2 linked regions of the Kluyveromyces lactis genome follow. The protein of the gene in region 1 purifies or fractionates together with the protein of each later gene. This does not show direct contact. Links are inferred from orthologs where the notes say so. Each region holds a gene or a part of one and is shown in the gene's direction. Other genes may lie near its edges.

Region 1 (5,713 bases):
AACATGATTTGATACAACATGCCAAGGTATATTATCGACAAACTCTACATTTTCCTTAAAGTTCGTGGTAGAAACCGTCAGATCAGGATTGGAATACATCCACGTCGGAGGAGAATATGTCTTCCACCAAATATGAACAGGGAATTCTTCACCTGAGAAGTAGGATATGAGAGGTATTATTCCTGCTTGATGGAATACTCCCATTATCAATCCCATGACAATATTAAAGACGAGCCATGAAGTTATGATGGTTTCTGCTTGAAAGAAAGTATCGAAATTGTCAAGGTTCATCGATGCACAAAGTAATGGTAGAACCGGTATTATAAAGCGTAATTCCTGATGTCTGAAAAGAGAAAGCATTAATATGCCAGAAATACAAGATAATGCAGGCAGTTTAAGCACAGCTTTTTGTGAAATAAAGAGTAGGATAATGGGACCGCAAATAAGAGGTAAGTTGATTAAAAGGTGAGTATATCGTGGGTGTAACCCATGTTGAGCAATATTATCCACCTTCATATTGTAAAGCAGATTATTTAAGGGAGCAATGACCCAGCTTTTACAGTCTGTACTGCTATACGCCTTCGTATCGAACAATATGATGAGCGCAGAGACTAGTGCCGTACTAATGGCAGTATATGCCACCCCAATCCAGTGAGAGAGAAAGCAATGGTAGAACACAGATAACAAAGGTAAGATCAAATACGCAGGGAAAGTGACTCTGTTGAATGTGCCGATGGAAATCAATGCACCTAGCAAGAAACATGATGAGAAGGTTGCATAGTGCCGACTTCGTACCTCGTAAATGCAATATTGACAAGTAAACAGGAATAGTAACAATATTATTGTTTCAAGGGAATTGGAAAACGTATGGCTTTGAAAGACCCAAGTGACATATGAGGTTCTGATGAAGAATTTTGCTTTAGTTTTATGCGTTATGGAGACCTCGCAAAACTCGAGGAAGAATATGACCACTGCCGTATAGAGTAAATAGTTCTGCAGCCGATAAAGATACAATAGACCCAAGGGTTTCAAGTGGAATATATGTTGATTCAGCCATAGCAGAGGTGTATAATAGAGCCTCAAAATAGTGATACTTCTGCAAGGATTTTCTGGAAGAAATTCCCATGTAGCAGTACCTTTAGCTCCAGTCCATGCTGTGAAAATGGGTTCTAATGTTTGGAAATGCTCATCGGGATGGATGTACGATGGTTCTAACGCAATGAGCAGCCCTATGATTAATCCCAGATACTCATATAACTTTAATTTCATATTATATGAGAAGGATACAGTGTTAGAAGTACCGCCTTTTTGCAGCTCAGGGAAAGATTCAATGTCAATTGACATTATAAGTACATTCTTCAATTAACCTACTTACATGGCCTTGGAAACTAACAGCTCAGGTTGGCATATTAAATGTCAACAAAACTACCAACACATTGCAATTTTGGTGTGGTGTTCTGATGCATGTGTGGTTCAAATTTTCGTTTTTTTTTCAATCTCGATGAGATAGAGACAGCTTCAATGTATTATCACCAACCACTATGATGATTCAACGGACTGAAACAGCGTTTCTCTTTAACGATATTTACAATCTGGTGTTAACTCGCTTTTTGGCCTCAAATTCATTTTTGCAATCTCATCGAACCATACCAAAGGATTCAAAAGTTTTCTGACAAAAGTTTTTTGACAAGTAAGCTTGTCAAGTATAATCAACGACGTTTCATTAAGAACAGTAGCATAACGGGCTAAACAAAAAGCACAATGGTGAATGAACAATTAACCTTGCAATTGTTTAGTCAAACTATGACTAGCGATGCTAGATCAATCAAAGCAGCCGAACAGCAGTTATTTGAATTACAGAAAGAACCAGGTTTCCTTTCCTTTCTTCTAAACACTACAAATAATGCCCAGTTGGAAATACCAATCAGAATGAGTTGCGCAATTTATATGAAGAATATGATACAAAGAAGTTGGAACTCTCGCAAGACGGTTATTATTTCTCCAGAGGAGAAAGATGCTGTGAAGCCGGCTTTGATTAATGCATTAATAACTAACTATGAGAATAATCATATTAGACCACATATTACTGAATCTATCGGCGCCATCTTAAAATGGAATGACGATTGGGTCTTCACCAACCAGGTTGTTGAGCTATTGCAATCTGGGAAACAAGAGTATATTTATCCAGGTCTATTGTTGATTTTTGAAGTATGTATCAATCACAGATGGGACATGTACGGCAATAGGCAATACATTGACGCATTTATCGATAGCGTCTTTCCAGTAATGGAACAGATTGCTGGTCAGCTAGTTAACCAAGAAAGTCATAAGTCGAACGAAATGTTGTACTTGATATTGAAGTCATTCAAATATGGTTGTTTGAATAACTTCCCAAGTTATTTCACGAATATTGACAAACTAAATTCTTGGATTCAATTGCATCTTTTCCTTTGTTCCAAACCGATGCCGTCTGAGACTATGGCCTTGGATTTGGCTGATAGGTCCTTAGACAAAAGGGTAAAAGTTAATAAATGGGCTTTCGGTAATTTATACAAATTTATTGCAAAGTATAGCAGGACCACAAAGGCTATCAATCAAGAAATGGTCGACTACGTTTTCCAAAATATTGTTCCAACCATTTTACAAGAATATTTCAAAGTCATTGAACTATGGGGTGCCAACAAAGGAACATTATGGCTCAGCGAATCCGCATTACATTATTTAATTCAATTTTTGGAAAAATGTGCGATTGAAAATACATTATGGTCAATGATTCAACCACATTTTGAGAGCATTATCAACCATGTTATTTTCCCATGTCTTTGCGCCTCTGATGCATCCGTAGAATTGTTCGAAGAAGATCCAGAAGAATATACAAGACGTTATTTCGACATAAACAAAGAAAGTTCCACAGCAGACGTGGCTGCCACAGACTTTATTTTTGTTATCGGTCACAAAAGAATGGAAGAGGTTAACAAACTATTGCCTTTGATCAACCAAGTATTCCTCCAATATCAACAGAATGACGTTATCCAAGCGGCCTACCAAGAGGAGGGTGCTTTGAGGATGTTATCTACTTTGTCTTCTTTCCTTACTTCGGAAACTGATAATGCTATCAATCTAGAGAGCATTTTCTCTCACTTCGTGCTACCTCTACTAAGTGATAAAAAACATTCATTCTTGGTCGCTAGAGCATTGGAGACCATTTCAATCTATCAATCTCCATTTTCGGATATGGGAATTTTATCCCAAATTTTTGAATCTGTATATGGGAACTTCGTTCAGAACAGCTCTCTACCGATTCAAATTGTCAGTGCTGATGCTTTGAAAACATTGGTGATATCTAATCCTGATATTCATTCGCATATTAAATCCCAAGCTCCTCAAATCATGGAAAGACTTTTGAAATTATCTAAAGAGTTTGAAATTGACACTTTAACAGAAGTCATGGAAGCGTTTGTGGAAAGGTTTGCGGAAGAGCTTACTCCATTTGCTAATGATTTAGCTCAGAACTTAGTCGATCAGTTTATGCAACTGGGCCAATCTTTGATTCAAAATAGTAACAGTAACTCAATTTCGGACCAAGACCAAGAATTCCAGGCCTCCGGTATGTTACAAACAATGACTACTATGGCTATGTCCATGAATAAAGTATGTTTGGTAAGCAAATTCCTTCCTGTCGTTAAATTTGTGATTGTCAACGCACAAATTATCTTCTTAACTGAGATTGTTGATTTGATGGATTCATTAGCCCTAAGCTCCAAGAGTTTGTTCAATGAATTCACCCCCGAAGTATGGGAAATGATTCATGACGTTCTTGACTCTTTCCAGACATATGCGTTGGATTACTTTGAATCTTACAAAATCTTCTTTGAAACAGTAATTAACTTCGGATTCGTTCAGGATCAAACATACTTGCCAGCTTTCTTGAGCATTTTGACAGAAGTTATGGGTTCCGGTGTCGATTACGATATTCAATGTGCTGTTGAACTATTAATATCATATGCTCTTTCTTTGAAAGAAATTCCTCTTTTTGCTTCTTTCTGTGATGCCGCAGTGGATGAAGAAATTGGTTTAGACGATGCGCTAATAGTTAAAATGTTCATGGCAGGATTATATTGCAAACCATTGGAGACTCTTCAAATATGCGAAAGCAAAGGATTACTTCTTGGTCTATTAAACAAATGGGTTTCCAGTAATCCAAGGACAGTATTTTCCATCAAATTACAAATGTTTGGTATCATGTCTATGTTCCAGTTGCCTGAATTACCAAGTTGCGTTACTGGCTTTATGAAACCATTAGCCAACAAACTAGTGAAACTAGTACAGGAACTTCCAGATGCTATGAGTAGGCGTACAAAGATCGGAAATGGAGAATTTGATGCAGAAGATGATAATGATAATGAGGGCCTCGATTTCTATGATGAAATTGACGACGACTTCAATGATTCTCCGTTAGATGATATCGATCCATTCTCAAAATTGCATGAATTCTTCGTATCACTACAGCAGTATAATCCCGAAAGGTATCATATTGTGATGCAATCAATGGACAGCGACTCTCAAGATGCATTGAAAACAATACTTGAGTTTGTAACTTCAAGCTTATGAACGCGTGCCTTAACCAATAATGATAGAAAATGATCCGATAAAATCTACAAACGGCAGAGTATAATCGTTCCAAATTCAGAATTGGACAGGTATACATATTCTATAAACGCACTTCAGTCAATCACATGAGGTATTTCATACATACTCCCGTCCTTGAAATGCAGAACGAATTTTCAAACTCTTTCATATAACAATAAATCGTACTATTACACAAGTATTTCTATAAACTTTTCTAGAGCAAGTCTGTCAAGTATAGAGGAGTGAGTTTTGAAGATAATGCAACACTTTGTTTGTTATGTTTTCAGAATTCTTCGGCCTTTACGCCAACTTCTGGATCGTTGCTTGAGGCGTCCGATACTGATGTCTGTTGTAACCTTGACCTAGATTGTCTGAATAATTCTTCCTGTTGTCGTAGTAATTCCTCCTCAGACAAACCGGATTTCTTGAATTTAGCATCCCGCCTCTCTCTAATCTTCTGGTTTTCTTTGTGTTGATGTAAAATCTCTTCTAATGGTGGAATAAATTCATCAAACTCCAAATCTTGTAAGGATTTGATCACGTGATCAGGCGCTATCGTCTTTTTCAACTCTTTATCTGCGATCTCGCTAGCAGAACCCGCTAGCATCATGATGAACTCTACCCCACATTCGATGATTATTTCACGAGCCTCCTTACTGAATGTTAGATCGGAATCAAGTACTTCAGATATGATTTTTTGAACGGTAGCCTTCGGTAATGTAACGTCGTCAACCTCTCCAACCATGTTTTCAATTGCTTATGGTTGAAATTCTAACGGTCTTTATTTTCTAAGATAAAGCTTGTGATTATTATTTTTTGGTTTTGCAAGCTTCCCTGAAAAAACTATAATACTCTCGAACTTAATTCTGTGCTGCAAGTCAATATACCAAACAAGCACTTCACGTAGTAATCAATTAGATAATTGGATGAACTTGAGATGATAACAGATTGTAAACAAATTTAACAATGTCAACTTTTGTTTTTAAATGCCTGGTATTACACTTTTTTGTCCTCCTTGAACTCTAGATCTGAATTATGTATAATAATATATACTAAAAAAATACTCATCGCTATTTCATTCACT
Region 2 (4,195 bases), on another chromosome or scaffold:
TACAACAACAGGGATTATCTGTATTTTCCCCTGTTGCGCCAAATGGAAAGCACCTTTCTTAAATGCTGATAGTTCTAGCTTTGTAGAATAAGATCTAGTTCCCTCAGGGAAAATCCAGAGGGCCCTTTTATCCTTCTTTAGGTTGGCCAAAGAGTCATTTAAGACCTTGATGGCCTTTTCTCTGCTAGATCTATCCAAGAACAAAGTACCGCTAAGACTCATAAACCAACCCAGTAAGGGAACCCACTTTATCTGTTTCTTAGCAGTAACTGTGCATCCAGGTGGGAAAGTTCTACCCAGCATTAGGATATCCAATTCAGATTGATGGTTCGAGATAAAAATAGCTGGCAAATCGTTCAATCTTTCACCATTGATCAAATTAATCTTAATACCCATGATGAAACCCATCACTCCATAGAAACAGCGAGCAGTACTCCATTGCGCCAAATGCTTTTTACCAATTAATGAAAATACAATCGATGCAAGCACACCATACAATGCACACGATGATAAAAGTGTAACTGCAATGACAGACTTCCCCCAGAAAACTATTTTGCTGAAAAAACCCATAGCTGAATTAAATGGATTTTGTTTAATGTTTCCCACTGCTCACACAGTAATAGAATCAACAAATAACTGAGTGTACTATTGGTACCTTATGCAATGATTTTTCGACTGTTTTTTGTTGGTATTATTATTCGAGAAACTATTTCAATCTTGTGAGATTTTTTAAAAAAAAGAACGAGAACGAGATGAAACTCAACATTGTAACAACAGTTGGAACGAACATACCCAGAAAGTTTCGTGATAGCGGAATCGGCAGCAATCAATTATCTGTTAAAACCAGACAGATCCAGTTAGAACTGTGAATTTGCAAACTAAATAATCCTGGATATGATCCATGTATTTAGTGAAATCATCACCATCAAATAAAGGAACAGAGCACCTGGATAACAATTGAGGGCATTTGAAATCTGTGTTCAAGTAGCAAACGACGTAGCGAAAATTAAATGAACGTTGTGTCAAGGTGCAAAGTGTACTCTTTGGACCAATTTACAAGTCCATACCAGTATACATGCGAAGTCAACGGTAAGAAATGTACCAGGATTCACGTCGTACAGGAATCTCTGCGAGGAAACGGTAAAACAAGAACCATAGTGAACACAGTGCGCGAACAATGTGAGGGGAACGGACTAATCTTGAACATTTCTTCGATGCCCCGGAACGACCACAACGACAATGACTTGCTCGAAACATACCCGGAATTCCAACAGACTAATCTTTCCATGCTTCAGTTCGATTCCTTTATTCAATTTATGTCTCAATTATGTACAGATCCCGTGACCGCATTGTCTAGATGCCAACCGCAGAATTCGGAAACGTCTACATCGAAGCAGTTGGCATGGGTCCTCATTGATAATTTGTCGCACTTATCCATGGACCCCAAATTCGACGCCAAGTTGCTCAACAGATCAATTAGACTCGTACAACAGACTTTCGGTTCTGTCGTTATCTCTACAAGTTTGCCCTTATCGTTCCATGGTGGTATAGAAAGCACGTTTAAACATCAATCAACAAAATGTGCAAGTGGTGACCGTCTGTTACCCTATTTCAATGAATCCGACATTATCCTATAAGCTCTACAAAACGCTGTGCTAGAAACCGTGTTGCCCTACTATGTGATCTTCTCATCTCTGCATGGCAAAAGGACATGGTTCTGTCTACACCAAACAATTTTTTTTTTTTTTCATGCATTTTTGAACATGGAAAAACGTTAAAGAATTACGAAATGACATTCCAATTGAAGTTATGATACAGGTTCTAATCGATACTGTTAACATCCTTGTCTTTGTGCATTGTAGCTTCCATTTCCTTTCAGAACTGGGTTAAAGTTTAAGGCTTTTTCCCTATTGTTTGTGGTCATTTATCTAGCTGTCTATTGGATTGTTTGGATCATAGCCGTAAAGAATCGAATCGCACTTCTCATAACAAGTTATACTGGAAACAATGTCATTTTCCCAAGAGATCCGTCGTCGTGGGTCTTATGCCCCAATCGATTTCACTCCTGAGGTGTCTCAGGCTTGCCGCAAACAAGTGGAATTCTACTTCAGTGAATATAATTTGCCCTACGATAAATTTTTACGCTCTCTATGCGAACAGAATGACGGATGGATTCCAATTACGACACTTGCGTCTTTCAACAGAATGAAAAAGTATAGACCTGTCGACAAAGTTGTTGATTGTTTAAAGGACTCGACGATTCTAGAGGTTAGCGCTGATGGTGAAAATGTGCGTAGAAAGAGTCCATTAGAGACAGTTGATTTTAAGGACAGGAACGAAAGAGTGTTAGTGTTTATGAACTTTAAGAAGATCGAAAATGAAGATAAAGATAAATTCCTAGAATTACAAGAAGAACTAGAGAAGTTCTTCAATGGGTTCACCACTGTTAACCAAGTTCGTTTGAAGAAGGACCATAAGAAATACTTCAACGGTGTTGTCGAAGTCGAATTCAAGACGAAGGAGGAATGTGTCAAATTCTTTGAGGAACACAAGACCGATTTCTCATATCAGGGACAACCATTGGAAGTTGTCACTAAGAAGCAATACAGCCTCGCCAAGAATGCAACTAGATCAAAGAATTTCGGTGGTTCTGGTCAAAAGACAAGATCATTAACTGGTTACAGGAAGAACATCCCAAAGACTAATGACGAAACTCCTGAAGCCAGTTCTGAATCAAAGCTCAGTGAAGGAGATGCCAATGCTCCAACTGAGAAGAAATCGGAAGAAAGTGCCACAGAAACTGCTTAAGGCAGTCCGGGCTATTCTCATATTGTTATTCTAAAGCTCTTTTTTCCGGTGTCAATCGAACTCTTTGCCAGTAAATTGTAAGAGGATGGATACCAATGGAATCTCCAAGAAAAGAGGTTTAACGAAATAATAAATACACACACTTATATATGATAAATAATGACATATATTAAGTTTTTAAGAAGAAAAATATAAAGTTTACCCATAAATGTTTTTTGTTTAAAGACTAGAATGGAAATTGTCACTTGTATCGATTCTTATCATTCAAATAGCTCTCTTCACATTCAATTTCCTAACACTCATAGTCTGTCTGTCTTTAGGATCGTACCATCCACCATTCTCGGTGGGGAATGGTGCAGGGGTTGCATAGTTGTAATCTGAAGGTCTTGTGTATGACCAACCTGGGGTGATGGTGGTTTTTTGCTGCAAAGAATTGATCAGCGAAGGGAAGTAAGACACCGCACTTGTCGCGTATCTTCTTGACCAAGTCTCCAAAGTTACAGTAGAACCCGGTTGTTGTTGCATTGGAGCAAATCTGGAAATACCCGTTTGTTTGGTATATGGAATAGTGAAAGATCTTGTATCTACTGAAGCCGCATCAAGAGATATCTGCTTTGGAGGACCATCAGTGTCAGTCACAGATTCTGCACTGACACTCAAGGTACCGTCCATACCTGACAATTTCATACGACCACTGTAATGAATCGTGTATCCTTCCTTATACGCGGCGTAGATCTGAATGAAATATGTCCCGTCTGGGGCCGTGGTGGCTGGGAAACTGGCTTGGTACTTGTAATCACTCACCTCGGAAGGCTTGAATGGACCCAAAGTGTCAACAGGTACGATATTAGAATCCGAACCAGTACATAAGACGAATTTGTACTCGATGATCTCATCTAACAGTGGGGTCGTCTCGTCGTCAGTCCATTGGATTTCAATTTCGACTTCACCACCAGAAGCAGCGTAAGAAGAACCTGGTTTTGGAACCGTGACAGAAACATCAGCTAGAACTTTACAGACGTACAACAGCAGTAATACCAGTAGTCTCATTCTATGTATATTGTTTATTTTTCAAATGCTGATTTGAATCTCTGGACCCTAAATGATTCAATGATAATGCCACACACACGCTTACTACTCGTCAGTTACCGTTATGTTGTAGTAGTATGAAGAAACACTTTCTATGCCACGTAGTTCAATACTGGCCACAGGTCTTTACGGTCTTTTATACCTTCTTGATCTGAGAAACTTGTTCGCCGTGAAAGTCCCAAATATATATAATTGAAATGTGATTTGAGTTCTAGAAACAATTTCTTAAAAAAATCGATGTCTGGCCATGGGAACTTAGCAAAGAGACATAGGAAATGGAGCAAAAAAAACATAACAA

Evidence for each region. The genes of interacting proteins can lie anywhere in the genome.
Region 2: the proteins of SXM1 (region 1) and LHP1 purify together in Saccharomyces cerevisiae (affinity purification with mass spectrometry; 4 studies listed by BioGRID, with this or other methods). This does not show direct contact. The link is inferred for Kluyveromyces lactis from reciprocal best matches to the Saccharomyces cerevisiae genes SXM1 and LHP1.

Annotation. Positions count from the first base shown.
Region 1 is NC_006039.1:573,844-579,556, forward strand, and holds SXM1 (Sxm1p), read left to right. Parts: upstream 1-1,761; coding exon 1,762-4,611; downstream 4,612-5,713. Other genes in the region: SMP3 (glycosylphosphatidylinositol-alpha 1,2 mannosyltransferase), read right to left, coding at 1-1,344; negative cofactor 2 transcription regulator complex subunit NCB2, read right to left, coding at 4,913-5,374.
Region 2 is NC_006041.1:127,922-132,116, forward strand, and holds LHP1 (tRNA maturation protein LHP1), read left to right. Parts: upstream 1-2,007; coding exon 2,008-2,808; downstream 2,809-4,195. Other genes in the region: 1-acylglycerol-3-phosphate O-acyltransferase SLC1, read right to left, coding at 1-570; PSY3 (Psy3p), read left to right, coding at 1,011-1,637; KNH1 (Knh1p), read right to left, coding at 3,073-3,858.